5 linked regions of the Nothobranchius furzeri genome follow. The protein of the gene in region 1 binds, or shares a complex with, the protein of each later gene. Links are inferred from orthologs where the notes say so. Each region holds a gene or a part of one and is shown in the gene's direction. Other genes may lie near its edges. The genes, in order: fgfr1a, kl, fgf23, plcg2 and fibroblast growth factor receptor substrate 2.

Region 1 (4,730 bases):
GCAGAAAGGGTTTTACCGTAATACCACTAAGTGGACTCTCCTTAAAAATAAAGTTTGAGTTTTTCTAATGGGGCATACTGAGCTACAATAATGAATGAATGTTCGTGTTAACAGCAGTGTTTTTGTGAGAAATACACATTCAGTAAAACAGAGCAGGGAAAACACTGCATACATTTTGTTTTAAATAAATATATTCGAAAGCAATTAATTTTTTTATCTTTGCATTATTGGAGAAATGTTTTAGTGTTTTGATGGTATGGCATTTCCTGTCATGTTTGTAAATATTAATGCACATTGTGTATATTGTGCTGAAGCTTGATTTAAATAAATATCAATTAAATTGAAATCAAGATTTCTGCCAGAAAAATCACAATTTAATCTTTTACCAAAATCCTTTAGCTCTCTTCTGAAAGCTGTTGCTTTAAAGGGGCATTATGGAAGTTTGACAGCCAAAACATGTATAGAAATAATAAATTTCTTCTTCATACATTCTCCTGCAATGCCCTGGTCCTGTAGAATGAGCCCTGGCATTTTTACTGTGATTGCCTGTTTTTCTGTAAAATCACAGAAAAAGAGAGCTGCTCGGGTCGAGCAGGCTGCTTCATGCGCGTTCACGCTCAGGCGTAGCCTGTAGCATTTGCTATCCGTAGCTTTAGCAGCAGGGAGTGAGGTAGTGCCAACTCAGCGACTTTGTCGCTGTTCCTAACGCCTAGTGATGAACCTAGCTACATTTCTGAGGACTCTTAGCTACTTTCTTCTAGATATTTCCTGCAAATTAGCAACAAAATAGACATTTTCGCTCCGAACCGTTCTTTGAACTTTGTTTCAGCTATTATCAAGGATATAAAAGCTACAGATACGAAAGACATAACTGGCGCTGTAGCTCACTTAGTTAGACGTCGGACTCTCGTGCAGAAGATCTGGGTTCGATTCTTGATGTGAACGTAATTTATGTAGAGTTTATTTTCTACATTAATGGTATATTTTTTTACAGTAAGATGCCCTAATTTTTATTTGAGACTCGCCGAACGGCATTGAATTCACAGATAAAAAAAGATGTGGGTTCAACTTTCATTTTGGAACAATTTTTCAAGCAAGGGAAGGGAAGCTCTGTGAAGCTGACGGACTGACCCATCTTAAACCTTTGTCGGCTGTGCTGAAGAGAAAGGTACAGAACCAAATTATTTAATTAATTAGCTGTGCGTTCTCCTGTCCTCTGTCCTCCGGGCCACACACACACACACACACACACACACACACACACAGGACTGTCTCAGCTGTTATTTTCATTAAGGAGTGTGCACGTACAGCATGCGCGCCTCGTGCACGAGCCTACTATTGAAGCTGCCGTTACACTTTTGGCCTGAGGGGGCAATCGCGAGCATAAAAATTCAAATCTCCGTAAAGTCCTTTTAACAATGAATTAATTTGTTACATTTCTCATAGATGGCTAAATTCACACCCTGTAAAGTTAAAATTGAAGCTGTTGTATAGGGCTGTAGCTGAGTTACCGAACTGCTGGTGTGTTCACAGACTTGTTCTGGGGAAACCTCTGGGTGAAGGCTGCTTCGGTCAGGTGGTGATGGGGGAGGCGCTCGGCATGGACAAGGAGAAGCCAAACCGTGTGACCAAGGTTGCAGTGAAAATGTTGAAATGTAAGTAAAGAGATTTTTCTAAAAAGGTGGTGCTCAATACACCTTTCTGTGGTGGATGCTGAGATGGATTTTCACAGGGATGAAACTCTCCAGGGTAAAAATGGCTTAAGGGAAGCATCGGGTCAAGAGTTTAGTCACAATAACGGCTTGAACTGGGATGAGCAGTTTCCCCGGTTGGGTTCCTGCCATTGTGCAAATGAGAGAGTGGAGTAAAAATTTATGAGAACCCTTGACATCCCTTATAAAACTGTGTTCATTAAACTGCATGGAGGAGTAAAGATGGAGGGAAGGTAGCATTTACTGTCTTGTACTTAGTGATTTTTCCATGGGGTGCATTCTAACACACACACACACACACACTGTTCCTTAACAGCTTCAGTGTTGGTCTTCTTGCCTTCAGAGCAGAGAAAAGGCATTTTAATATGGGGGTGTTTTCTGCTTTTTCCAGCTGATGCCACAGAGAAAGACCTGTCAGACCTGATCTCAGAGATGGAGATGATGAAGATCATTGGGAAGCACAAGAACATCATTAATCTGCTGGGAGCCTGCACACAGGATGGTAGGATAAGACAGGCAGGAGCCTGATACTGACCCACTCCAGTCAACACACACACACACACGCACGCACGCACGCACGCACGCACACACACACACACACACGCACACACACACACACACTTGTCCCTCAGACAAGGAAGCTGCTGTGAGCCTAACTTTGGGGGATGTGTAGGAAAGCATGCATAAATGATTCTGACACCAGTTTCCAAGCTCACAGCTTGAATCAACTACAGCTGCGGCCGTTTTTTCCCATACATCCTGATTAAAAAAACCCAGAGAAAACCTAATGACTTGTACATTACGGCAACACGAGGTTTTTATTATTCTACTCTCTTGATATTTGTCTCTTACAGGATTTGTTTTGGAGTAAAGCATCTTCTAGTAGGTGTCAACGCTGTAGTTCTGATATCTTGTTGATTTGATGCTATTTTAGACCCTGCGTAATAGAGCTGCGTTCGTCTCATTTATAAACATTGTTGTGTGTTTCGATATCACCTGGAGACGTTTATTTATGTCTAACATGCAGTCAGCATTTCACAAACAGGCTTGTTCTTGGTCTGTTCTTTTCTACAAACCTCCCAACACACTCCAGAGTTCAAGTGTTGGTCAAAAACAGCTTTCTCAGTAATTAGACAGGTCCATCCTGACCTAAAGAAGATTCTGACAGACGAGGTGCTGCGGTTGTTGTTTCAGGTGCATACAGGCTAAACCCTTTAGGTACGTCTTCCCTACATGTTATATAAGAGATTTGAAGTCGAGAAGAAGAAAAACTTGCAAAACAGTTTGGATCCGTTAACGAGATGTTATTAGTGGAAAATAAACATAAATAGATCTAAAGATGTTACTGGTACTTTTACTATCATTCTGTTGTGGAAAGTCAGCACAAATATTCAGTGAAAACTTTAAAAAGCTGCTTAAACCTTCATTATTTTCTAGTGGGCCCGTCTATATTTATAAAATCAGTTGATTGTTTAAAGTAACTGTAACTAAAGTTACTCAGAGCCGCTGTAGAAGGTCCAGTCTGAGTTAAGCTGCGGCAACTGGAGAGGAACTGAGAAACGGCAATAAAGCTTTTGCTGTTTGCTTGTTCAAGTTTAATAGAAATAGAATATATAAGACATCAATTATATAATAATTTTATTATTATTATTTTAACAGTCATGTTAGAGATAAAAGGCAGAATAGATTAAAAATACATGTATTAAAAAAACATTTTAATTTTATCTGGTTACATTGAAGCTTCACGTCCCAGTCTCTGTCCCACTTGTGGTGAGTTGGGATCTGGTCATCCTACTTAAGAATGATTACAGTAATTTGGAATATTTTTGGGTGTTTTTATGTTTGGTGTTTTGTGAATTAGTTTCATAATAATAGTTAATAATTATATGATGATCCCTAATCATGATCTGATTAGTTATTTCAGTTTATTACATTTAGCTCTCTTGAACAGTATGATTGGTAGAAAATTGCTTGCATTTTGCAAAAACATCACATAATTATTATTTTTTTAATATTCTCAATAAAATAAAAGTATGTAAATGTCAGAGGTCACTACAAAACCCACAGTAGAATAGATGCACATCTGCAGCATGTGAGGACCTTGTTTGGGGGGAATTATTTTAGTTGTCACTTTTTTCACAGCCTCAGAGTTCGTGGCTATGAAAAATGTAAACTAAAAAAAATATATATATATATATTGTTCTTCTATGCGCACGGTTTGCATTTTTGTGCCACGTGGGTTAACGTATTATTGCTAAAGCCTCGCTGTCCCGGGTGTGACGTAACCCAACATGAAGTGGACAACGAAGTGATGCATTATTTAAAAACAATATATAAGTGTTTAACAGTTGATTAGTTCTTTGCGATAGACTTAATTTTATTTTTACAAGGTCTTAAAAAGTCTTGAAAAAGTCTTAAATATAGTTTTGAGATTCCTGCATGTACCCTGCTTTAGCTCAGCAGAACACGGCTGCATTAAAACACATCTGAATGTTTTCCGATCATTTTAGGTCCGCTGTATGTGATAGTTGAATATGCATCCAAAGGCAACCTCAGGGAGTACTTGCGAGCCCGACGCCCTCCAGGCATGGAGTACTGTTACAACCCAGACCAGGTTCCTGTTGAGAACATGTCCATCAAAGACCTGGTGTCCTGTGCTTACCAAGTGGCTCGAGGCATGGAGTATTTGGCTTCTAAAAAGGTAACGAAATACAACAGATGGAGCAGTTTGGGAGCATTTGATCCGTTTTAAGCACCGGTTCTGTGGTTTGGGTTCTGTCTTTATAACATGATGTTTTTTTTGTTCTTTTGGTTCAGTGCATTCACAGAGATCTCGCTGCTCGCAATGTTTTGGTAACAGAAGACAATGTAATGAAAATAGCTGACTTTGGCCTGGCTAGAGACATCCACCACATTGACTATTACAAGAAGACCACCAATGTAAGTCTTCTGGAAACCAAAGGTTTAGATTTCAGACTCTGGAGAACCTGATCAAACCATAACACACACATTCTTTAT
Region 2 (6,058 bases), on another chromosome or scaffold:
AGAGGAGCAGGAAGAAGAGCCAACACCAAGGGTATTTTTTAGTTATATTTTAGTGTTAAAAATAAATCTATTAGCTCTGGTTGCATTTTTAGAGCTATCGTAGTTAGCGTTAGCTTAATCGCGTTAACTCGTCCATTATTGCAGACGATCTTTATATCATGCATTAACGCATTTGTTAAACACGAGCGAATCAACGCGATACGAGAAAGGACGTTTTAAACCCGGGGGTGAAAAATTACATTGGAAGAAGACTTTTTTTGTAATGTGAGTTTGCGATAAACTATTTGTAGAACTGCCTGTTTGGCGACCGAACCGTGCACGAAGCTTCAGGCATCTCCGATCGTTCGGTGTGTTCTAGGGCTGCAACCATTCGTCGACGTTGTCGACAAATATCGACAATAGAAATGGGAATTTCATTGTCGACGTTGTCGCCAGACGTGTTTTTTCCGACCGAGTGAGGCATCTCACTTCATTACAATCTCTGCCGAGAGTCGCACATGCGCAATAGTTTCTCTGCTGAGCGCCAACTAACAGAAAGTGTGGCATCCAACACAGCAGCTACGCGTACCAAAACATCTGGGGAGCATTCTATTCTGGATTTGGCAAATAAAAAGATGACCTGCATTATTTGCGTATCACGGCAGCACCTCGCTGACGCTTGAACACTTAAAGAGAAAGCACGTCAGACAGTTGAATGAAACCGAGTCTGACTCACCGAGGTAAGATTTAAATAACACGAAAGCCAATACCTTTTGTTTTGGATGTACACTGTAAATTTTTTTTAAACGTACTTTCGCTTTTAAAAAAGAGAGATTTAATGTTATGCCCGACTGTGCCTGACAAAAGTATTTTAATTTTATTTATGCATTTATGTCTGTACTGACTGGACACTGTGCCTAATTGGTGTTAGACAGGGCATTTTATCTACTGTTAGTATGAATTGGCCTATCTATCAGCAGCAACGTTCAATAAAATATACATTTTCCATTGAAGTACCCATCTTTCTTGTGTTTATTATCATTTTTCACACAATTAAAGCAATCTCATACTAAATTTGAAAAAATTTTCATAATTATCCGATTAGTCGACTAATCGTTTCAGTAGTCGGTGACTAGTAAACTATTAAAATAGTCGTTAGTTGCAGCCCTAGTGTGTTCCATTATTTCCGTCTGAATGCCCTGAATGGCTGCACTCGGCTTCATATTCTCACTCATCAGAGCAGGAAACATTTATAGAAGTAAGGGTTGCTGCTGTAAAACAGATTTTTTTGTGTCGTTTATGATTAAAACAATTTGTAAGATCTATCCTTAACTTAACTTTTTTATTTTTCTATTCGCTACTGCCTAGTCGGTGTAATAAAAACTCAGGTAGAACCCGGAGGACAAACAAGGAAATGGTGTCAGGCGGACACGAAGGGAACAGGAAGGTAGACACCGGGGTGGAGGAGAACATCCGGTACTTTCTCAATAAAAGACGACGCGCTAGTTAGATTTGTGTTCATCGAAAAAGAACATTCTGGACAATATTTGTCATTTTACTGGATTGTTGCAATAACAAATATGTTTTCTTATAGAATCGGTGTATTTGTCTGCTCATACATGAAAAAGATCACGTTACCGTACTTTTATAATCTGTAATTAATTTGCGATTAATCGCAAGTAAAATGTCTTTTTTTTTTTTTATTGTCTTTCAGGGTCGTAAGAAGACAGCAGGACGCAGAAGATGAGCTTTGGAGTAAAATTTAAAAAACAAAACACAACGATTCTTCTGTCGTCAAGGAAACCGTTTCAGGAAAGGAAAAAAAACCCATGAACTTTGAACTTTTTAAACTTTTCATATGCCGATGTTCCCGCTGTTACACACTTGCATTTACCACATGCACACCACATCAGAGCGTCCGCATGGTCAGCTGTGGCTCGTCGCTTCGTGTTGCATTGTGATCATGTTCGCCACGTTAGGTAGAACTCATCTTAACATGAAAAACAAAAACAATATGGTTTGTAAATAGTCTCCTCTGTCTGTTTGTTGTTCTGTTGTTGTGTTTGATGCTGACTGGGGAGGTGCTGTAAAGCCTTTTGGGTTCTGCCGTTATTATTAAAAGCTAAAAAAAAAAAAAGACCGATCACCATCAACTTTTTCTGTGTTAATTGTGTCATTTTACCTTTTATTGGAATGATTTTGTTTACACCTCTGTATATTAAAACATTTCTTCTTCTTTTTTACCATTATTGAAAACTTTAAAAACAAACAAAAAAAAAGCAATTGTAGAGTTGCTTCTGGTTATGACTGTAGTGTGCATCTGATTTATTTGGTTAGATTTGTACTCACTGCTAGAGGAACGTCGTTTGTGTCACTGCTGGTTAATTTGGCTTCACATCCACCCAGTCAGACCCTCTGTTGTAACAATATAATTCTCTATAAAACCAGACCTGCTCGCTTCCTCTTTATTTGGTTTGAAACGTTTAGTTTTTCAGACTGAAAACAGACGTTCTAGTTCTTCAGATCCAACTGCGGCATCTGTCGGAGTCACGCGCTGTCCTCGGGCTGCCCAGCATCCCTTAATAATCCTCTTCCCGTGCTGTAAATGGGGCTGCTCCTGCTCCACGTCGCTTATGCACAAACGCTCCAGTGCGTCCGATGGAAAAACACTCCCGTGTTCTTCCCGTTTGTGATCCGTGACAGAGCCTGCAGGGCAAATTCGCTAAACGATGAGCAGAGCTGGACGTCTGAGGAGTGGTTTGATTATACACTTTAATAGCATAAACAACATATTTGAACACAGTTGGCTCCAAATATTCAAAAAGTCTAATTAGATGTAAATGACTATGGCCTCTCAGAGAAAGAACCACTTTTTTATTCTAAGACATACCCACCACCTCAGGTATTTATACTGATGCTGTGATAACCTGGGATGGGTTTGTGTTCCCTAGCAACCATCTGACTCATCACATTGTCTCTGATGAGATTAGGAATGTAGATTTAGTTATACATGTTTTGCAGATGGATTAAAGCTATGATCTGTTGATGGGTTCACATTAGAGGCTTTGGCACCTGCTCTCCAGGAGATTAGACTGAGATTAAAGGCTCAATATGAGCAGAATAGAATAAAATAAAGTGATCGTGCCTTATTTTGTCTTTGTGGGAGCCTTAACGTCTTGTGCCCTGAGCCCTTCCTGCGTCAGGTGCTTTGGTTAATGATTGACAGGTTCACAGCTGGCTGCTCGCGCGTCGCAGAGGTCTGGTTAGTCACCAAAAAGCCACCAAGCATGGTGGAGTGTGAGCCAGCTGAGGACCCGGACTTCCACGGCCAGTAAGAAAACCAACCATGAAGGGGTTTGTCGCTGTTCTCACATTTGTGGCCTTCGCTGCTGTTGGCGCAAAGCCCAATGCGGGTCTGAAGACGTGGAGCCGCTTCAGTAAACTTCCCTATCCGGGAGACAAGGCTTTTCTCTACGACACGTTCCCCGGGGACTTCATATGGGCCGTGGGCACAGCGGCGTACCAGGTGGAGGGCGCGTTTGAGAAGGACGGCAAAGGGCTCTCCATCTGGGACACTTTTACGCGCGGAGGGAACCGCATGGCCACCGGGGACGTGGGCAGCGACAGCTACCACAACATCCACGCGGACATCCGGGCCATCCGCCAGCTCGGGGTGACCCACTACAGGTTCTCCTTGTCCTGGTCCAGGATATTTCCGAACGGGACGCGCGGGAGTTATAACGACATCGGCACCAGCTACTACCGGACGCTCATCAGGAGGCTGAAGGAGGTCCGAGTCCAGCCGGTGGTCACGCTTCATCACTGGGACCTGCCCGAGCAGCTGCAGCAGACCCTGGGCGGCTGGAGCAACCCAGAGATCGTGGGGATATTTGAGGATTACGCAGATTTTTGCTTCCATGCGTTTGGGAATGATGTGAAGTTCTGGATCACCATAGATAACCCGTTTGTGGTGGCGCAGTATGGCTACGGAACCGGGGTGGTCGCTCCTGGGATCAAGAACGACCCTGATCTCCCTCTCCGAGTGGGACATAACTTACTTAAGGTGGGTATTGATTTAAAAAATGTGCTGTTTTTTTATTAGTCACAAAAAGTATCTGTTCAAAAATCTAATTTTTTATTCAATTTTCCTTCCATTTAGTATCTTGAAAATAAATTACAAAAAAAAATGTTTATTACTATGATTTTTTTCCCATTAAAATAGTAAAAAGCACTAAAATATGGCCAGGGGCGGTTCTACATTTACATTACAGGGGGGCCCGACTGCTTTGTTGGAGAGGTACATCTGTATGAAAAAAAATAATAATAAAAAAATGTGCCTTTAAGTATTTCAAAAATGTGTGTGTAATTCCAACAACATAATAATTCATGGTTGCTTTAGATACAACAGCTTTTCAATACCTTTCCAAATTTAACTATTTTGCAAAACTACATTAACGTCTTGGTAATCTGCATCAGAAAAAACATCAAAGTGTTTATCTTAACATCTCTTTTCAACTAACCCCAACCCCCATATAATTGCATTCACATGCTTTTTCTCCCCACATCTCATATTAGGCTACATTAACACAAAAAAATCTGCACTTATTCAGCAGGGAGGCCACTGGGGCTCCAATCTTTTCTGTCATTTTCATGCTTTTTTTTCCAAGTAAAAATAACCATTCAGATTTTACAGTGTAATTTATTATGCACACAGAACTTTTTTTTTAACTTTTTGACCTGCATGTAAAAGTTTATTCTTTATGTATCTCTCTTGTCTCTGCTGCAGGCCCATGCAGCTGCATGGCACCTCTACAACCGCCGCTATCGGCCTCGGCAGCACGGGAAGGTCTCCATGGCTCTGGCCTCCCACTGGATCAAGCCCAGCCGTACTCGCCTGGAAAGCCTGCGGGAGTGCCAGTGTTCCCTGGACCATGTCCTGGGCTGGTTTGCACAGCCGCTGTTTGTAGATGGAGACTATCCAGCCTGCATGAAGGAGAGGCTGGGTTCACGGCTCCCCTCCTTTACCCAGGAGGAGAGGGAGCAGGTCAGAGGAACAGCTGATTTCTTCGCCCTCTCCCATGGAGCTACCCTGAGCTTCCAACTCATCAACGACAGCCTGAAGTTTGGGCAGCTGGAAGATCTGGACCTGAGGATGCTGCTCTACTGGGTCAACGAAGAGTATGACAAGCCACCCATCTTTGTGATGCAAAGCGGTTGGTAGGTTAGCACACGGACATATCCGTTTTAGTTTGGGTTTGTGTTGAACTTGCGTTTGTTTTCCAGGTATGTCCTCGGTAACACCAAAACGGAAGATCCGAAACAAATGTACTACCTCAAGAGGTTCATTGCAGAGACACTTAAATGTGGGTCCATCGGATTCCACCAAACTCATCGAACTGTCTCGTCAGACGTCTCTGAGGTCAAACTAAAGCCTGTGTGAATGTGTTTGTCGTCCAGCGATCGTCGTTGATGGAGTGAATGTGATTGGATACACAGCCTGGTCCCTGATGGACGGCTTTGAGTGGCACAGAGAGTACGGCATCCGACGTGGACTTTACTACGTCGACTTCAACACTCCTGACATGAAGAGGGAGCCAAAAACGTCCGCCACCTTTTACAGGTACATGTGAGGGCCAACACGTTTTGGTGTCCAAGCAGAAATCCTGAGGTTTCTCTCAGATGGCACCACCCAGAGCATCTCCCTGTTTCTGTAATACTGCTGGAAACGATGCCTCTCATTCGTGAACACACATAGTTACTGTTCTCATGTTATGCTGTTTATTACTTCATAATTTAAAGACTTACTTGTCTATAAAGAAGTTCACCAACTCTGCATCTATTCAACATCCGAGTTGAACGCAGAGACCCTTCTGTTGTTGAAAAGCAGGTCCAAGGTAAATGCTTCACTGCATCTGTACGTAAGCCGATGTCTAATTCTACTGGCTAATGCTAAGCAGCGGTGAAGTGAAACTGCATGGAGCTGTGCGAGATGTGCTTGTAAAAAATGAATAACCGACGTGTTGCCTACATCATATCACAGTAAAGGTTTAGATTGTTTTATTGTGTTTGTGAAGTGCCT
Region 3 (5,352 bases), on another chromosome or scaffold:
CGTTTATGCAAGCACAACGGCTACGCAGCGATGCCAAATCTTAAAAGCAAACAAAAGCTGCTGTTGAGGCTGCATGTAAAAGCACTAATGTACATTTTTAACTATGAGTTACATGAAAATGCTCTTTATTTTGAAAGCTGTATACTGTGTGGAAGTAAACATCGTGAATGCACGCTAATGAGGACTTCATTTGCTCATGTCCAGAGGCGTGTCCAGGGAGTGGCCTGGGGTAGCACATACCACCCTTGGAATCTGATTGGCCACCCCAGGTGCCACCACATTAATTTACCTTTAGTTAGGCTTTTCATTGTCCACAAAAGGCTTGGGGGTAAAACAAGAAAAGCATAACCATTGGTGCCACCCATGCACAAAGTTGTGCCTCACCTGGGCCACCCCATTTTAAAAGATCTGGACACGCCACTGCTCATGTCACCTCTCCAAGATGTCTGGTTTTGCACCTTATTTAGGACGTCTTGATTATATATTTGATTCTCCTTTCCACAGCTTATCCTAGGTCAGATTTCAATAAGTCAAGGTGAGGAATAACTTCTTTGATGTTTGAATGTATATCAGCATGCCTGAGTCCAGAGCTTGACTAGGGTGTGTGTTCTTCATGTGTTATTTTTACTTTTTGGACTGAGCCTCCACTCTATTCCTCTCCTCTGTTCTCATATACCTCACCTTCTGCCTTAGTTTTGGTTTGCTAATCTCTGTAAAATGAGACGAAACAAATTTTAGTTACATGTTTCTGATAACAGACGATGCTAAGTAAAGTTTTGTTCCTTTTATTTTTGTACGTATGTGCTGTGCACAGCAGTCTACTGTATATTCCTGAAATACCAAATAATAAAAGTTTGTTTTTCTTTTTTTAACTGGCTGCTGGGAGTTTGTTGTTTCTGTGGTTTAACTGGATTTGCTGACCTTGAACTGAAAGATGTGAGTCACTCATTTAATAAATACATTTGTAGTGGTCTCTAGGAATTAATCCAAGTTGTACTCTGGGGAGGAAAAACTGACCGTTGCACCATTTCCAGGAACTTGTAAACGATAACGACCTGCACTTGTACTGCTTCGTTCAGAGTCAAAGGTAGAGAGGTGGTAGTGATCCACGGGTGAGTCCATGAATGTTGAGTGACAGTGTGATGCAGATCTGGCAGTTTCACATCTCTTTTCTATCAGAAACTGATGCAGGAGATAGGTGTAGGAGACTATTTTCATGTTCAGCCTGCATGAAAAACTCAGAGTGACCCATTATAATCAGAAATAATCATTAAAAATTGGTTTTTAGTGTTCCACATTTTTAAATCATGAAAAATTAAAACATTTCAAACACAAAATATTAGTTTAAATTTTTAAAACAACAAAGACCCCAAAATACATGCCAAACATAAAATTTACAACAAAATAATTTTTAAATCAAGTCCTGTCCCTAATTTACAAAACAAATGTAAGGTTAATTAACAGATTAAAAAATCTTTCTGACTTATTCCATGAATTATAACTTGTCACCATAATAATTTCCTGCATGAATGAACCGTTTATAAGAGGGGAACAGACTAAACGCAGTTAGGTTTCCAGTGTGGCAGCTTTCTGTAAAAGATGCGTCTGTTTGCTTTCCTCCCAACAAGGAAGTGTCGCCATCTGCTGGGTAAAAAGTGGAAACGTGGATGAGTGCAGGTGTGCAGAAAAAGCAGAGCTGGCATAAACAACTATTTTAACTCTTTAATTATAGAGCTGTCACTCTTGGTTGGGGAAATAATCCGCGATGTGATGAAAAGCCTTTAGAGGTTTTTTTTTTCCTTTTGAAATATTACACAATGCAGCTTCCTGCACTCCGAACTAAAACCTGAAGCGGTGGTTTAATAAGAAACGGTGGATGAGTCAAGAAGAGAACCCAAAAATAAAAGTCTTGATTTTTAACCAAGATCATGAAATAAACAGAGAGGTGGAAGTGGTCCTTCCGCTGCTGAAACCCGCACCTCTGCTTTGGGGGCGAGTTTCTTTTTCTTTTCTTTTTTTCCGCGCAAAGGATGTGCGCAGGAGTGGCGCTCAGATGGGCTTTAAATAGGTACTGTCACCAAACTGTGGCACAACAGAGCATCCGAGCGCTTCCAGCAGTCCAAACCAGCGGTTTGATCCAGGATGGACGTCAACAAGCGACTGGGGATGAGAGACACGATGCTGACGCTCTTACTCGCTGTCCTGCAGGGACTTCCTGTCGGGGAAGCGGCACCGAATCCGTCTCCGTTAGTTGGATCCAACTGGGGGAACCCGAGGAGATACGTTCACCTGCAGACCTCCACAGAACTCAACAACTTCTACCTGGAGATCAGATTAGACGGGTCTGTGGGCAAAACTACAGCCAGATCTGCATTCAGTAAGTTGATATTTGGATGAAAATAATGTAGGTTTATAGACCAAGGTCAGGCTGCTAAAAGTGTTTTTTTTCTCTCGCAGGTGTAATTCTAATGAAAGCTGAAACAAGGGAGCACGTGGCCATCTTCGGTGTCAAAAGCAACCGTTACCTGTGTATGGATCAGGAGGGGATTCTGTTCAGCTCGGTAGGTGTTTCAAAGTTATTTTCAAATTTCCAGCCTAAAACCTTATTCTGAGTTTGTTTATCGGTCCTATGTGCTTTTACGCATCTGGCTGTGCTACTTTTACGCATGCGCACCGCAGTTTATTTTCTAAATAACACTTAATTTCTTTAGTTTGCTGCTTATTCATCTTTAAAATACTTCAGTTGAAAGCTCGCATGTAATTTTAGTCGATTTATCAAACCACGAGTTTGTTTCTGGTGTCATTGTGGAGTTTTACGCACAACTTTTACGCACAGGATTCCTTTATTTAAAACGTCGGTTGGATTTATTGGCATCTGAAAATTGAATAAAAATAAATTCAAGGCATTTTTTCCGCCTAAATAAAAGTCAGCAAACATCGATCAGCTGGGGTTTGATGGCTTTCTTTTCCTCTTTTAGCCCATCTGCCAGAGGGACTCCTGTCTGTTCTACCACAGGCTTCTGGAGAACAACCGGGACGTCTACTATTCTACTCTAACCGGGATCCTGTTAAACCTGGAGGGCTCCCGGCAGCTTTACTCTGCGGGTCAGAACCTGCCGCAGACCTCCCTCTTTCTGCCCAAGAAGAACACGGTGCCGCTGCAGCGCCTTTTGCTGCACAGAGACAAGAGGACTCGGGTTGCGGACCCAACAGACCCACACAACGTCTTGATTTGGCAGCCTGAGGACGAGTTGGACTCCAGGGCGGCACAGGAGGACGACATCGACCTGGATGTGGAGGTAGAGTTGGAGACGGAAACAGAAGTCGGGGATGATGGAAGAAACGTTTCCCGGGAGACGCCGCTGGCTCCACACGACCCCTGGAACGTGAACTTATCCAGGCAAGGCGGCGCTCGGAGCACCGGGACCACGGTCTGATCTCGGCACCATGGATGATTTTAGAGTTAATGTGCTCTGCCTGAGTCCAATTTAACAGTTTAGTCCAAACATCCATCTGAAAAGCTGAATATATATATATTTTTTTTTTTGGGTAAAATCGGTGGTTTGTATTGACTTGTAACCTTTTTTGCACATTTTCTTCTGTCTTAAATCTAAAAAGCAACTAAATACGTTCTCTTCCATCATCAGACCTTAAAGAGAGTAATCAATTTTAGAAAAGCTTCTGCATCTTTGGCATCTGAGCATTCATCCAAAATGCTGGAATATCAAACAGGATGGAAATTATTCCTCTCTTTCTCGGTTGGTCTGACAAACCCACAATGATGTTTCCAAGACAGAAGCCTGATTTTTCCTACCTCTGGAGAACTGAGCGGCCTGCTGTCAAACCAGACAGGCATCACTAAAAATAAATATATAATTAAAGTAGAGTAGAAATGACTAGAGTTATAGTTTAAATGTCTTTGTTATACAATCTTAAGTATATTTTAAGAGTTGAACATACTCTCAAATCATCATTATGACTTATTTGCAGTTTGATCTGATAAATGACTTGAAAGAAAATGACTACAGGGTAAATAAATTCTACAGAATATCAAATGTAAACTCTTGTTGTGTGATCAGGTACCGGAAAACAGAGAGAAAGCAGTCTAAAAGAATATTTATTTATTTAAATACATTCCTTTATTGTTATTTATGGTATTTATAATAATGCTTACAGTTACACAGAAACACGAGTTTACTTTGAATGTATGAGCTGGAGCGAGTTTTGCTTGAATGTGCTTTAAATAAAGAAATCCGATTATCATAGGAGCCATTTTTGGAGTCTGTGTGATGTTGTATGTTAATAAAAAAGCTCCTTCATCAATGTGAGATCTTGGTTAACAATTAATGCAATGGATGAATGGATTAATGGATGAAAATAAATCTTATGGCATTGCAGAAGCTTAATCTGCTTAATAGCGTAATCAACGCTAACGGTGGTCCAACAAAGTATGAGCGTGACTTTTTTAGGTGGTGACTTTTCTTTTGGCTAGGCAGTGCATCAGTTACCAGGAAATGAGAAAGGACTCTTGTAAATGTAGAACTAAAACTGCACTGGTTCATAAAATAATAAATTAGACTTTTGAGGATTTTCTTTTGAAAGTCATTCATTTGATGTTATTGTCAGTAAGTTCCTTATTAAAGAAGGTAAATCCGAGATAATTTTATGCCTCAAATATGAAAAAATACAAACAGGTTTTTTAAACTGAACTAGTTTAATTATGTAATTATATAACAGTAAAAAGGAAATAAAATTAGCAAGTTTACATGTATAGGACTGGATGTGGCTTGTTTTAACAAAGTTACTAATCCTAAGACACCATCACGGTGCTCCAAAGCCAGAAATGGTTTGATGCTAAATTAGTTAAATTGCCTTAAAGAGCAAGTCACCCCCTACCAGATCTTACTCAACTCCCACTTCCCGTTTGAAAAATGCAACAAATATTGTTGCCTTGCAGACCGAGAGGGCGGAGCCACTAAAATACACACACAGACTCACAACGACATTGTGACATCATATGGTACCAGCTAATGTTCTAGGGTTCCTCTTAGCTAATAGCGATGGCAGATTTAAATTCCAATGCAGTGCAGAGGTTTTACCTGACAACGGCACAACACCGACAGTTTTAGGCAGAAAATTAAAATTTGAACTAAAATGCACTTAAGTGCTAAACTATTGACGACACGTGTCTGCAGCACGATTAGACTCGCATTTATATAGTTTATCAGAAAAAAAGTTGATTTGGGGGTGACTTGCTCTTTAAGGTGCTTTAAGGCAATTTTGTCTTTTGTCTTTGTCAACTGTCTTTCAGCTCAACACATTCAACAGAATGGAAAATGTCAACGTTCTACA
Region 4 (5,459 bases), on another chromosome or scaffold:
ATCAAAAGGTAAAAGCATGGCATTACGAGCTATTTAATACTCAACAGATGCGAAAACGTTGTTAAAGCATCTAAAATTGAAACAATAACTAGTCATGTGTCGTGAATTTGAATACACAAATAAAAGAAAAACAAGACAAGTAAATAACATGAATCCATTTTCAAAAATACAAAATAATCTAAGTAAATCACTTGATTTAAATGAACAAATACGAGGACCGTTTTCATCTTCTTTAATTTCATTATAAATATTCATTTCGATGAAGTCAGCTCTTGATTAAAGAAGTAATCTGATTACTTATGAAATTATTATGAAGATGTTACGTTAGAAAAAGGTGGAAAGTAGAAGAGCTGTTAAGCTGGTGTAATGCTGTGTTTGAAATGTAAAGATACTGAAAAATAAAAAGTACCGATTGTTAACTATTTAATTTCATGGTTTAGGAAACTTGGGCCAACGATCTGAATCAGGTCAGGGAGCTGATGACCATTTTTATTGACGACACCATGAGGAAGACCAATGACCCTGAGTTCACAGTCAGCGAGGTAACAAAGAAAACTTGTATTTCTTCAAATTATTTCCAAATTTGCCTTTTTATTTTTTTAATATTCAAACTTAGTTTAGGCTAGCAGAAAGTTTTGAAGCTCAAAATGGCCACACCTCCCAGGCGTTTGAAGGAGTATTTTTATTTTTATTTACTTATTGTTTATTTTTCATTGATGTGTGTGCTTTGTGGCTGTGTGTATCTGTGTGTAACCTGGGCGCTAATTCTCGTGTCACATGGCAAATCAAATTTACCTGTGGGTATTAGTAAAGTTACCTTGACCTTGTGTATTAACTCTTTCTCTTCTTCCAGTTCCTCAGCTTCCTGTTTTCCAAGGAGAATTCTGTTTGGGACGAGAAGTTCTCAGAGATCATCAATCTGGACACACACAACCCATTGTCTCATTACTGGATCAACTCCTCGCATAACACGTCAGTTTGTTTAACAAACCTAAGTGGCTGGTTTTTGTCCTAAATATGTTCCTGTTAACTGATCAAAAATACCATCAAAAAAGATTTTACTAAAACTGAAACCTGTCTTCACTGGGAGCTGTGAGACCTAAACTGGGGGCTCGTCCGGGATCTCCCAAAATGAAAATGAATCACAAAAAATTGCCAACTGCATTTAATTTGGATATAAATGTTAGAATAGTGTTTAAAGTGACATAATAGATTATTTATTATAAATGAACTAATCTAGTTGATTTGTTTTCTTATTTTGTTTTGTATCCATCAGTTACCTGACAGGTGATCAGATTCTCAGCGAGTCGTCAACAGAGGCCTACACCCGCTGTCTGCGTCTGGGATGTCGCTGCGTTGAATGTGAATATCAAGCTAGTGAAGTAAACGAAAATGTTTAGATTCGTTTAACTTAATATTTTTTACTTGTTATTTATCAGTGGACTGCTGGGAAGGCCCCGGGGAGCCGATCATCTACCACGGCTGGTCCAGAACCACCAAGATCAAGTTTGAGGATGTGGTCAAAGCCATAAACGAACATGCATTTGTCACCTCAGAGTAAGAGCTTGTGAGGTTATTTCTGGTCTTGTACAGGTTTGGGGGTTTTGTCTTCATTTTAATTTTTACTGAGACAGTTTCATGAACCCTTAACTGTTCAGTCAGATGCTTTCTGGAGCACATTTTAGTCCCTCTAGCTTAATAAAACCTGTTGAAAAAAATGCTACTAAAATTAAATATTTAAAAAATTGTGGCCAGGTTTCAGTATAAACTTAAACATTAGCAATAAATATTATTACATTTTATTATTATTGTTATAATCATTGCTTTATTATTACATTACATTATATTATAATTACCTTTGTTGTTTCAAAAGAACAAAAAAATATAAAAAGGATTGTATTTCAATGTAACTTTTTTTTTACTGGTGTGGAATTTAAAAGGTTGATTTAGTCGTTATTTATTTCTGTTTTATTTTACTTTTTTATCTCTTTGATAGTTCCATCCATCCGCTTATCCACGCAGGGTTGCGTTGGGCCTAGTGCCTATCTCACGCACACACGCACGCACACGCACACACACACACGCACGGACACACGCACGGACACACATACCTAGGGCCAACGTAGTGAACCCACGCATGCACAGGGAGAACATGCAAACTCCTTGCAGAAAGACCTCAAGGCGACAGCGCTAACCAGTGCTAACCCTAGCCCTGCAGCCCTCTTTGAAAGTTATTTTTAATTTTATTTTAATACATGTTTATTGTATTATTTCTTTCTTTAATTTATTTCATAGCTTTTAATGGTCATCATCACGTGACTCGTTGTGGTCAATGCCTTTTGTTTTATTTTTTTTATTTGATGTAAATATGTTGTTTGGGGCTGTGCAGTGGTGCAGTGGTTAGAGCTGTTGCCTTGCAGCGAGAAGGTCCTGGGTTCGCTTCCCGGCCTGGGATCTTTCTGCATGGAGTTAGCATGTTCTCCCTGTGCATGCGTGGGTTCTCTCCGGGTTCTCCGGCTTCCTCCCACAGTCCAAAAACATGACTGTTAGGTTGATTGGTCTGTCTAAATTGTCCTTGTGTGTGTGTGTGTGTGTGTGTGTGTGTGTGTGTGTGTGTGTGTGTGTGTGTGTGTGTGTGTGTGTGTCTGTGTTGCCCTGCGATGGACTGGCTCTCTGTCCTGGGTGTACCCCGCCTGATTGCCCGTTGACCGCTGGAGATAGGCACCAGCCCCCCCACGACCCCGCGTGGACAAAGCGGGTTCAGAAAATGGACGGATGGATATGTTGTTTGTTCCGGTTTTACATCTTAATTCAGTTTTGCGTCATCTTGAATTTGTTTATTTTGCTTCCTGTTATTGCAAAAGTTTTTTCACATCATCATACATTGTGTTCTTTTCACAAATGGAAGGGAAATTTTTCTTTAGTGTCTGTAAAAAAACACAAGTTCCTGTATTTTCATGTGGAAAACTAGACTTCATGCACCATATATACATACATATTTATTTATTTTTGTTTTGTTTTATCAGCTTAGACACAATGACCTTAGTTAACAAGACTTTACTTCAAATGCTTTTAGCTTCCCAGTGATCCTGTCCATAGAGGAACACTGTCCGGTAGAGCAGCAGCGTCAGATGGCGCGGATCTTCAAAGACGTGTTTGGGGACAAACTTCTGACCGAACCGGTGGAGCACATGGCCGAGCTGCTGCCGTCACCCACTCAGCTGAAGGGCAAAATCATACTCAAGGTACTGAAGCACAGGGAGGCGATGGCGGAGGCGGCTTGATCTGAGACCACCGCTGAGTTTGGTTTTTGTTTACGAGCAGCACAAGAAGCTTAACGTGGAGGGAGGACCGGGAACGGTTAAAGACTTCAGGAGGGGCGAGAAGCAGGGAGACCTGGAGATCTGGGACCCTGTCGACCAGGTACCGTCATCTAAACACTGCATCAAACAATCAGCTAATGGTATGTCCGAGTTTTTGCAGATGTTATGTTTTTGCTTGGATTCTGTTGATTGGACAGAAACAAAGCTCCAGCTTGATTCCAAATTTAATTCAGCCAATTCACAAATCATTCCTTTGATTGCTGCTTATTTTTTTACGGGACGTCAGACATCCACGTTTCTTCAGAGGCCAAAAACGTTCCCAAAGCTCAGACGTCCCAGGAGAGTTGGCTGTTCCAACGTGTTGTTTTGCATGTGTAACTAAAGATGTAAAAACCTGCTTTCTCTTTACCAGCGGTGGAACAAACACTACTGTGTGATCTCTGATAACAAGCTGTACTACGCAGAGGAGTACGAAGAGGAAGATGAAGATATCAGGAAGGTAAAGTGTCCAGTTAGGGAGGGAATACCAATGAATAGAGGGTTGAAATGTGCATTTTGTTGTTTTATTCAGTACCAGGACCTGCACTGCTCGGAGCCGTGGTTTCACGGTCAAATGCACGAGGGTCGAATTATGGCCGAGCGTCTGATCCAGGATTACTGCGCAGAAACCGGCGGACAAGATGGCACCTTCATGGTTCGACAAAGTGACACGTTTGTCACTGATTTCACTCTGTCGTTTTGGTAATTTCTTGGTCAGGTTGTGGTACGATGGTGCTTTTTGTTTGTTTTCTTAATTCCCTGAACGTCTGTGCAGGCGTGGTGGGAGAGTCCAGCACTGCCGCATTCGCTCCGGCACAGAGGAAGGCCAAAACTTCTTCTACCTGACTCCAAACCTGCCCTTTCCCAGCGTGTACTCTCTGATCCAACACTACAGAGAAACGCCGCTGCGCTGCCAGGACTTCGACCTGCGTCTCACTGAGGCTGTACCCAAACCGAACCCTCACCTCCAAGAAGGGTTTGTCCTGCAACACATCTAACCCTTAAAAATGCAACGCAAAAAGAAACTCTTCCCAAAGTGTCAGCTTGTGCCTGCAGCACACGAGAAAAGGCTAATTTTACTGATGCTTAAAGGGGCATTATGGAAGTGTGACAGCCAAAACATGTATAGAAATAATAAATGTCTTCTTCATACATTCTCCTGCAATGCCCTGGTCCTGTAGAATGAGCCCTGGCATTTTTACTGTGATTGCCTGTTTTTCTGTAAAATGACAGAAAAAGAGAGATGCTCGGGTCGAGCAGGCTGCTTCATGCGCGTTCACGCTCAGGCATCGCCCGTAGCATTTGCTATCCGTAGCTTTAGCAGCAGAGAGAGAGGCAGTGCCACTTTGTCGCTGTTCCTAACGCCTAGTGACAAAGCTAGCTACATTTCTGAGGACCCTTAGCTACTTTCTGTAGAACTTTCTTCTAGATATTTCCTGCTAATTAGCAACAAAATAGCCATTTTCACTCCGAACCGTTCTTTGGACGTTGTTTCAGCTGTCATCAAGGACATAAATGTTACAGATACGAATGACGTTACTGGTGCCTCACCTAGTAAGATGTCTGACTCTTGTGCAGAAGACCTGGGTTTGATTCTGGATGTGAACATAGTTTATTTAGAGTTTCTTTTTTACATTAATGGTAATTTTTTACAGTAAGATGCCCAAATTTTTATTTGAGACTCGCCGAACGGCATTGAATTCACAGATAAAAAAGATGTGGGTTCAACTTTCATTTTGGAACAATTTTTCAAGCAAGGGAAGGGAATGATCTGAGCATGCAGGAGGACTGACCCATCATAAACCTTTGTCGGCTGTGCTGAAGAGAAAGCTACAGAACCACATTATTTAATTAATTAGCTGCACGTTCTCCTGTCCTCTGTCCTCCGGGACACACACACACACACACACACACACACACACACACACACACACACACACACACACACACACACACACACACACACACACACACACACACATACACACACACACACACACACAGACACACACACACACAAGGAACTGTCTCAGCTGTTATTTTCGTTAAGGAGTGTGCACGTACAGCATGCGCGCCTCGTGCACGAGCCTACTATTG
Region 5 (6,178 bases), on another chromosome or scaffold:
GTATAAATATAAACAGTCTAAAGTATAGAATAAATTTAAACTACAGTACCAGTCTAAAGTATAAATACAAACTACAGTATAAATATAAACTACAGTACCAGTCTAAACTACAGTACCCACATCACCCCGCTTCTCCTCCAGCTTCACTGGCTGCCAGTCAACTTCAGGATTCATTTCAAGATCCTGGTTCTGGTCTATAGGACCTTACATGGACAAGCACCATCTTACATTGGTGATCTTCTTAGTCCCTTCACCCCCAGCAGGTCCCTGAGGTCCAGTGATCAAAGCCTACTGGTTGTGCAGCACCAGGCTAAAGGTCAAATGTGACAGATCATTTGCTGCTGTGGCCCCCAGACTCTGGAACTCTCTCCCCCTGAGCCTGAGATCAGTGGACTCAGTGGTCTCCTTTAAAAAGCAGCTGAAGACTCACTTGTTCAAGCTGACTTTTGTATGACCTTCTTCACCACTCTCTTTATTCTGCTCTCCCCACCTATTCCACCTTCCTCAGGATCCACTGATTTCTCTCTTACCTATTCACTCTCTCTTTCTTTAAATTTTTAAAATCACAATTGTCTACTTTTTGCTCATTTTAAAGGGGCATTATGGAAGTTTGACAGCCAAAACATGTATAGAAATAATAAAATTCTTCTTCATACATTCTCCTGCAATGCCCTGGTCCTGTAGAATGAGCCCTGGCATTTTTACTGTGATTGCCTGTTTTTCTGTAAAATCACAGAAAAAGAGAGTTGCTCGGGTCGAGCAGGCTGCTTCATGCGCATTCACGCTCAGGCATAGCCCTCCAAACCGTTCTTTGAACGTTGTTTCAGCTGTCATTAAGAATATAAATGTTACAGATACAGAAGACGTCACTGGTGGTTTATCTCGCCTAGTAAGACTTCGGGCTTTCGTGCAGACAACCTGGGTTTGATTCTGGGTGTGAACATAGTTTATTTAGAGTTTCTTTTTTACATTAATGGTATATTCTTTTTTACAGTAAGATGTCCAAATTTTTATTTGAGACTGGCCAAACGGCATTGAATTCACAGATAAAAAAGATGTGGGTTCAACTTTCATTTTGGAACAATTTTTCAAGCAAGGGAAGGGAATGATCTGAGCATGCAGGAGGACTGACCCATCTTAAACCTTTGTCGGCTGTGCTGAAGAGAAAGGTACAGAACCAAATTATTTATTTAATTAACTGCATGTTCTCATGTCCTCTGTCCCCCCCCCACCCCCCCACACACACACACACACCAAAGCTGGGGCTAGGCTCCTCTCACCCAATATGATGTAACACTGGATCACTCTGCAGCACGTAATGAGGTAATCTATGGTCTATGTAGTCTCTTCCACACTCTCGTTCCCCAGTTCCATGCTGCCATCCCACGGTGTGAGTGTGTAGTGCCGGTGATCCAACTATCCGTGTTACTCGTTGATGACCGACTACTACGTCACAGAATATTCGATGAGGACACACAGATAGATCACCAGTATCCAGCCTGTTTTAGTGGTTTCTCTGCTCCAACACATTTGATTCTATGGTTGAATCACCTGTGCAGCAGCAGCTCGTAAGGCTCTGCAAAATAAATCAGGTGTGTTGAAAGAGTCCAAACTCAAACCTGCCCTGAGGCCTGGAACTGAATACCTGGTTGTAGGGAGTGTGAACTTTGGCTCTGCTCCTGCATCAGCCCTTTGCTCGAAGCATGTGCGCTTCCTCAAAGTGCACTTCGCAGAGGATCGGAGTCAGCAGTGAGGTAAGGGCACTCTGGTCCTGACTCGAGGCCTGCCCCGACTACGTACGCGGCGCATGCGCAGTGCGGTGCGTAAGGTGTCGGAAGTTGCGGCAGCAGCTCGCTGTGATTTTTAGCTCGGGAGCAAACGAGCAAGAAAAGTTTGTTTTTAGCCGTAGAAAGAGTTTTGGGACGGACCTTTTCAGCCCGCAGTGAACCACTAAGGACCGCAGATGGATTCTGACTGGTTTAGATTGATGCTTGTTTGTAAAGAGAAACCTTAGGTGCGTTTTAAACGAGTTGTGATTGTTTTTTTTTGGCGCTCCAGCGGCGCAGAGGAAACATGGAGGATCTCCTGTTGTAGCAGCCGCTAGCTTTAGCTGAACGCCTGGATTTACGGACAGACTTGAGGTGCTCCTCCATCTGGATGCCCCAAAGGTTTGGATGCTGGAAATCACCCCTCTAACCAAGCCTGGTGAGTATGGACCGATGTACGGACAGGTTAGGGCTTCTGCGAAGAAGGTAGCGGGCGTTAGCTGCTGCTAACTAGCTGCTGCTAGCTAGCTGCCATTACAGCAACTTCACATCGAGAAGTTTCACACTACAGCGGCTGCGTGATTCACATTTCGCAAATGAACCGCTAAATGTGCGGCTCGCACACGGTTTTAACCGTGAGGTTAGTTAATCTGGTTAGTTATCAGCGATATAAACTGAATGCGCACGCGCTGAGGAAAGTGAAAACACTCAAGTGTCACCGAGAGGTCCTGAGATCTCGTTATTGATCATCCCGGTGCTGGAGTGACGTCAGAGCTAACAGATTAACTATCAGCAGATTCGCACATTACAAATCTGATCAAGTGTTTTAAGGGTTTGGAAATGAAATGGTAAATGCCTCGTTATCTATACAACACCTTCTACAGTTCTGCAACCCCCCAAAGTGCTTAGACATGCACTACATCATAGCCACAGCTGTCCTGGGGCTCACTCAGATGCGCCTCTGGTCCTGCCCAGGTACACAAGACAGAACCTGGGCTTGAACCTGCAACCCTCTGGTCACAGGGTTTGGGTTCTCACAGGACGGGTACTTAATGTCTCTGACACAATTGCCCCAAAGTCAAACATAAAGGTTAGTAATCGCTTCACTAGGAGAAAGTATTTCAGAATTAATTGATTTATTTAACATTTGGAGCAAGTTTCAACAGAAATTTGCTTTGAATCAAAATGTGATTAGAAACAAGTGTGTTACTGCTCAGATTCAGGATGGATCGTCATGGTAGTCGGGGCCGGTTTCAGGTCAGCTTAGGGTCGAAACACTAGGGCTGCAACTAACGATTATTTTCATAATCGATTAATCTGTCGATTTTTTTTTTCGATTAATTGATTAGTCGGTTTGTTATTGTTTAGCTATTTAACCTATACAAGTGATGAATACATTTCAGTTAAGAAAAAGAAAAACATAGGAGAATTGTGCAATTGACTGCAATCATTTTATTGCACATGAACACAGTCAGCGGTGTAAAATGAGCTAATCAGTCCAGAATAATTTTTTGGCATCAAAATATAAGAGGTAAATTCCATAAAAAAATAATGTTGAATCTAGAAAAGAGTTTGTAAGTGGTATGCATTGCTGGGGGGTGAGTGTCTTGTTCCCCATGTAGTTGTCCATCGTTGCTTGTTTTTTTCTGCATAAGAAACACAAATTGACTGACATAAGTACACATATAAAATAAAGCAGCACACACACTACAACACTAAATCAATATTATATTATTTGAATTAATTAACAATAGACAGTGATCATTTATTTTGATAAAAATGTGTTGTGAGGCGTTTTACAGCGTTAGATAGTAAAACAGCCTTTTAATAGTAAAAAAATGACTTTTTCTGAATTTCTCCTGTATTTAAAAATTGAAAGCGTACAATTATGCCGCGTTATATTCACCTGGACACAGCTTGTCTTTATATTTTTCTCCGCAGAGTTGTCCTTTTTTGAATGAGGAACATAGTTATGGGTTTGTGCCGTTTTTCTCTTAACAAGAACATTCTTATAAACAGACGTGCTAAATTTGGCAAGCGCATGATACACAACACGGAGGAGATTCACGATTGCATTTAGTCAATCAGAAGTAGAACACCGTAGACTGACGCGGCAAAAAAAAAAAACATGTTTAACATTCACTATAACGAACTCAGCTAAAACACTAAGTCCCATATTTGATCTGCGTGTAGTGATGGACCACTAGATTTTGCTTATTTTCTGTTATTTACCGGGCTGGCTCTTCCTCTGCTGCATCAGCCCCCACATGTTTTCGTCTCAAATGTTCACTTAGGGACGTCGTGCTTCCGTGCCATGCTAGATGGTTTTTGCATATTTTGCAGGTCACCCGTCTTTTCATGGCATCTAGAGTGAAGTGCTCCCATACTCGTGAGGTTTTTGTCCGGGGTTTCTCTTCAGTTTTGTCGCTTCTATTTTTCTTCCGTATTTCTTCTTGTTCCGCCATCTCTCACAGCAAGATGAGCGTCAGTAACGTGATACGTCATGAAAACCGAGGGCACTTATTGGCTCGTTTCTTCTTCTACGGCTCCACTGGTAGATCAGTGGCTCATTACTGCCACACACTGGCGGCAAATTTAACAGATTGTAACTGATGTCAGATTGTGGTAAAAATAGACTTTATGCGGTAAAATGTGATTATTAAACAACTAATCGATGACTAAAAAAGTTGTTAACTATTTCAATAATCGATTATAATCTATTAAATCGATTAGTTGTTTCAGCTCTACTAAACACCTAGACTGCATGTCTAGAATGATGGTGAAGAAACAGGAAACAGATTTTTTTATATATCAGCTCTCTTGAGGCATTTCGCAAGAACAATAAAAATAAATGAGATAAATGAAAATGGGAGAAAATGGAAAATTTAAGAATAAACACATAGAATTAAAATTAAAGAGTTAATCATGGAAGTATGGAAAGTGCTCGGTTTCTGTGTTGTCCCTGAAAAAGCTTGAAAATCAAACTGCATTGTTTTCTGTTTAGGATAAACCAAGGTAGTTAGATGAAAAAAATGTAGTGATGCACCAATATGAAATTTTTGGGCCGATACTGATATCAAGATTACTGTTATGGCTGATAACCGATATTCACCGATACCGATATTCTGACATAAATGCTTCTAAAATCAGCAGATTTTGTATAGAATTAAATTATTAAAGCTGAATTTAAGAAGAAGAAGAAGAAAAGATCTTTTCTATAGCGGCTCTCAAGAGTAAAATCACGAGGCGCTTAACAAAAACAAAAAATACAAAAAAGAATTTAGAAAATGATTAAAAACATATTTAAAATCTGCAAAAAATAGACAATTGTGGTTAAAAATGTAAAGAGAGAGTGACAAGGTAAGGGGGAAATCAGTGGATCCTGAGGAAGGTGGAATAGGTACACTGTAAAATAAAACATATTGTTTCAACTTAAAAATACGAGTGAAAGGGCTGCATTAAAATTTTGAGTTAAATGAAAAAACAAAATTTGTTGTCTTAACATTACCATATTTTATCCCAAATTAAACTCTCTTGTTATACCAACATGTTTTTAAGTTAGTTTAATTTATAATCAAGAGTTGATTCAACTTCTTTTAGTTTTTTTAACTTTAACCACAATTAATAATTTTACGTTGTCAAAACTAGTTTGGGTATTGAGAGAACTGACTGGTACAGTCCGTGTAATCCATAAATGTATGTTGACTCAATTTTAAAGTATCAATTCATTTGGAAGAAATGTTTAAGTCAACTTAACTAAATAATTTAAAACATTTGCCATATCGAAAAAAGATGGGGGCACTGTATATTGGAAATTTAAAACATTCATATGATTAATTTATGTACATTTCACACAAAATGATCCATTTAGTGATAAATTTCACCTCCAAAAACAGAAACAATACAAACATGTTCATCAACTCAGCTAGTTTTTTTATTTATTTAGCAGTAATGAAGTTACAGCTCTGCAACATTTACTGAAGCTGTTTTGTTTTGTAATGAATAGTGAAAACTTTTTAGAACAGTCTGCACTCAAAAAGGACATTAATAAACACAGCAGCTTATCAAGGTCTTATAGTTAGAACATATTTAGTGTCTTAAATGAGACAAGTCATTGCACATTAACTCAAGTGCATAAACTTTTAAAGCATCTGACAAAACCTTGCACAAATAAAAACAATAAAATAAAATTCAAAATGATACTATTCAAAATAGTAGTTCTAAACAAATAGTGCACATTTTAATCTTGTCATCTATCGTTTGGTCTTATGTTGACCTCTTTATTGCAATACTTTTTATCAACCTATGCATTTGATTGGCTTTGAACCAATATGACTATATTTTCTGATGGAATAAACCTAAACAGATGAAATAACAAAACAAGAATTCCAAACCATGTGCCAAACTTCTAT

The links.
Region 2: the proteins of fgfr1a (region 1) and kl are in contact, whole or in part, in a cryo-EM structure (PDB 7YSH), measured with the Homo sapiens proteins. The link is inferred for Nothobranchius furzeri from reciprocal best matches to the Homo sapiens genes FGFR1 and KL. Residues at the interface, in NP_075598.2 of Homo sapiens: Asn272, Gln288, Leu290, His292, Ile293, Asn296, Gly301, Pro302, Leu305, Pro306, Tyr307, Val308, Gln309, Ile310, Leu311, Lys312, Glu322, Leu326, His327, Leu328, Arg329, Asn330, Glu334, Asp335, Thr340, Leu342, Leu349, His351; in NP_004786.2 of Homo sapiens: Ser539, Gln540, Phe541, Asp543, Leu544, Asn545, Val546, Tyr547, Leu548, Trp549, Asp550, Val551, Lys555, Arg556, Leu557, Val560, Val563, Thr565, Lys566, Arg568, Tyr571, Val573, Ala576, Glu625, Arg628.
Region 3: the proteins of fgfr1a (region 1) and fgf23 are in contact, whole or in part, in a cryo-EM structure (PDB 7YSH), measured with the Homo sapiens proteins. The link is inferred for Nothobranchius furzeri from reciprocal best matches to the Homo sapiens genes FGFR1 and FGF23. Residues at the interface, in NP_075598.2 of Homo sapiens: Glu159, Lys160, Glu162, Lys163, Lys164, Leu165, His166, Ala167, Val168, Pro169, Lys172, Gln244, Asp246, Val248, Glu249, Arg250, Ser251, Pro252, Val279, Tyr280, Ser281, Asp282, Pro283, Gln284, Pro285, His286, Ile287, Ala314, Gly315, Val316; in NP_065689.1 of Homo sapiens: Leu31, Leu32, Gly33, Ser34, Trp36, Gly37, Tyr43, Ala45, Thr46, Ala47, Arg48, Asn49, Ser50, His52, His66, Ile75, Arg76, Ser77, Glu78, Asp79, Ala80, Gly81, Val83, Val84, Tyr93, Phe108, His117, Gln118, Thr119, Asn122.
Region 4: the proteins of fgfr1a (region 1) and plcg2 are in contact, whole or in part, in a cryo-EM structure (PDB 8JQI), measured with the Homo sapiens proteins. The link is inferred for Nothobranchius furzeri from reciprocal best matches to the Homo sapiens genes FGFR1 and PLCG2. Residues at the interface, in NP_075598.2 of Homo sapiens: Lys504, Asn506, His541, Lys542, Lys598, Ser602, Tyr605, Gln606, Arg609, Glu612, Tyr613, Ser616, Lys617, Lys748, Asp755, Arg756, Val758, Ser762, Gln764, Glu765, Tyr766, Leu767, Asp768, Leu769; in NP_001412678.1 of Homo sapiens: Phe528, Arg540, Thr568, Phe569, Pro570, Asn571, Phe577, His585, Cys586, Arg587, Arg589, Ser590, Thr591, Met592, Gly595, Leu601, Thr602, Asn604, Leu622, Arg623, Cys624, Ala625, Glu626, Phe627, Glu738.
Region 5: the proteins of fgfr1a (region 1) and fibroblast growth factor receptor substrate 2 are in contact, whole or in part, in an NMR structure (PDB 1XR0), measured with the Homo sapiens proteins. The link is inferred for Nothobranchius furzeri from reciprocal best matches to the Homo sapiens genes FGFR1 and FRS2. Residues at the interface, in NP_075598.2 of Homo sapiens: His409, Ser410, Gln411, Met412, Ala413, Val414, His415, Lys416, Leu417, Ala418, Lys419, Ser420, Ile421, Pro422, Leu423, Arg424, Arg425, Gln426, Val427, Thr428, Val429, Ser430; in NP_001036020.1 of Homo sapiens: Asn25, Val26, Asp27, Asp28, Leu33, Leu47, Thr49, Arg50, Asp53, Ser54, Val55, Trp57, Leu60, Cys61, Leu62, Arg63, Arg64, Tyr65, Gly66, Tyr67, Asp68, Ser69, Leu71, Ser73, Phe74, Gln81, Thr82, Ile86, Phe87, Ala88.

The regions. Positions count from the first base shown.
Region 1 is NC_091757.1:34,245,414-34,250,143, forward strand, and holds part of fgfr1a (fibroblast growth factor receptor 1-A), read left to right. Parts: intron 1-1,533; coding exon 1,534-1,655; intron 1,656-2,103; coding exon 2,104-2,214; intron 2,215-4,222; coding exon 4,223-4,413; intron 4,414-4,529; coding exon 4,530-4,652; intron 4,653-4,730. UniProt on the Homo sapiens protein: Tyrosine-protein kinase that acts as a cell-surface receptor for fibroblast growth factors and plays an essential role in the regulation of embryonic development, cell proliferation, differentiation and migration.
Region 2 is NC_091750.1:61,952,365-61,958,422, reverse strand, and holds the start of kl (klotho), read left to right. Parts: upstream 1-2,584; 5' UTR 2,585-3,325; coding exon 3,326-4,042; intron 4,043-4,765; coding exon 4,766-5,196; intron 5,197-5,262; coding exon 5,263-5,342; intron 5,343-5,436; coding exon 5,437-5,599; intron 5,600-6,058. Other genes in the region: pds5b (sister chromatid cohesion protein PDS5 homolog B), read left to right, coding at 1-31, 1,694-1,726. UniProt on the Homo sapiens protein: May have weak glycosidase activity towards glucuronylated steroids. However, it lacks essential active site Glu residues at positions 239 and 872, suggesting it may be inactive as a glycosidase in vivo.
Region 3 is NC_091741.1:43,104,775-43,110,126, reverse strand, and holds fgf23 (fibroblast growth factor 23), read left to right. Parts: upstream 1-1,978; 5' UTR 1,979-2,142; coding exon 2,143-2,377; intron 2,378-2,457; coding exon 2,458-2,561; intron 2,562-2,978; coding exon 2,979-3,437; 3' UTR 3,438-3,557; downstream 3,558-5,352. UniProt on the Homo sapiens protein: Regulator of phosphate homeostasis. Inhibits renal tubular phosphate transport by reducing SLC34A1 levels. Up-regulates EGR1 expression in the presence of KL. Acts directly on the parathyroid to decrease PTH secretion. Regulator of vitamin-D metabolism.
Region 4 is NC_091744.1:86,605,671-86,611,129, forward strand, and holds part of plcg2 (1-phosphatidylinositol 4,5-bisphosphate phosphodiesterase gamma-2), read left to right. Parts: coding exon 1-8; intron 9-440; coding exon 441-542; intron 543-853; coding exon 854-972; intron 973-1,276; coding exon 1,277-1,362; intron 1,363-1,439; coding exon 1,440-1,557; intron 1,558-3,076; coding exon 3,077-3,245; intron 3,246-3,324; coding exon 3,325-3,423; intron 3,424-3,735; coding exon 3,736-3,822; intron 3,823-3,894; coding exon 3,895-4,064; intron 4,065-4,137; coding exon 4,138-4,338; intron 4,339-5,459. UniProt on the Homo sapiens protein: The production of the second messenger molecules diacylglycerol (DAG) and inositol 1,4,5-trisphosphate (IP3) is mediated by activated phosphatidylinositol-specific phospholipase C enzymes. It is a crucial enzyme in transmembrane signaling.
Region 5 is NC_091744.1:79,890,607-79,896,784, reverse strand, and holds the start of fibroblast growth factor receptor substrate 2, read left to right. Parts: upstream 1-2,002; 5' UTR 2,003-2,205; intron 2,206-6,178. UniProt on the Homo sapiens protein: Adapter protein that links activated FGR and NGF receptors to downstream signaling pathways.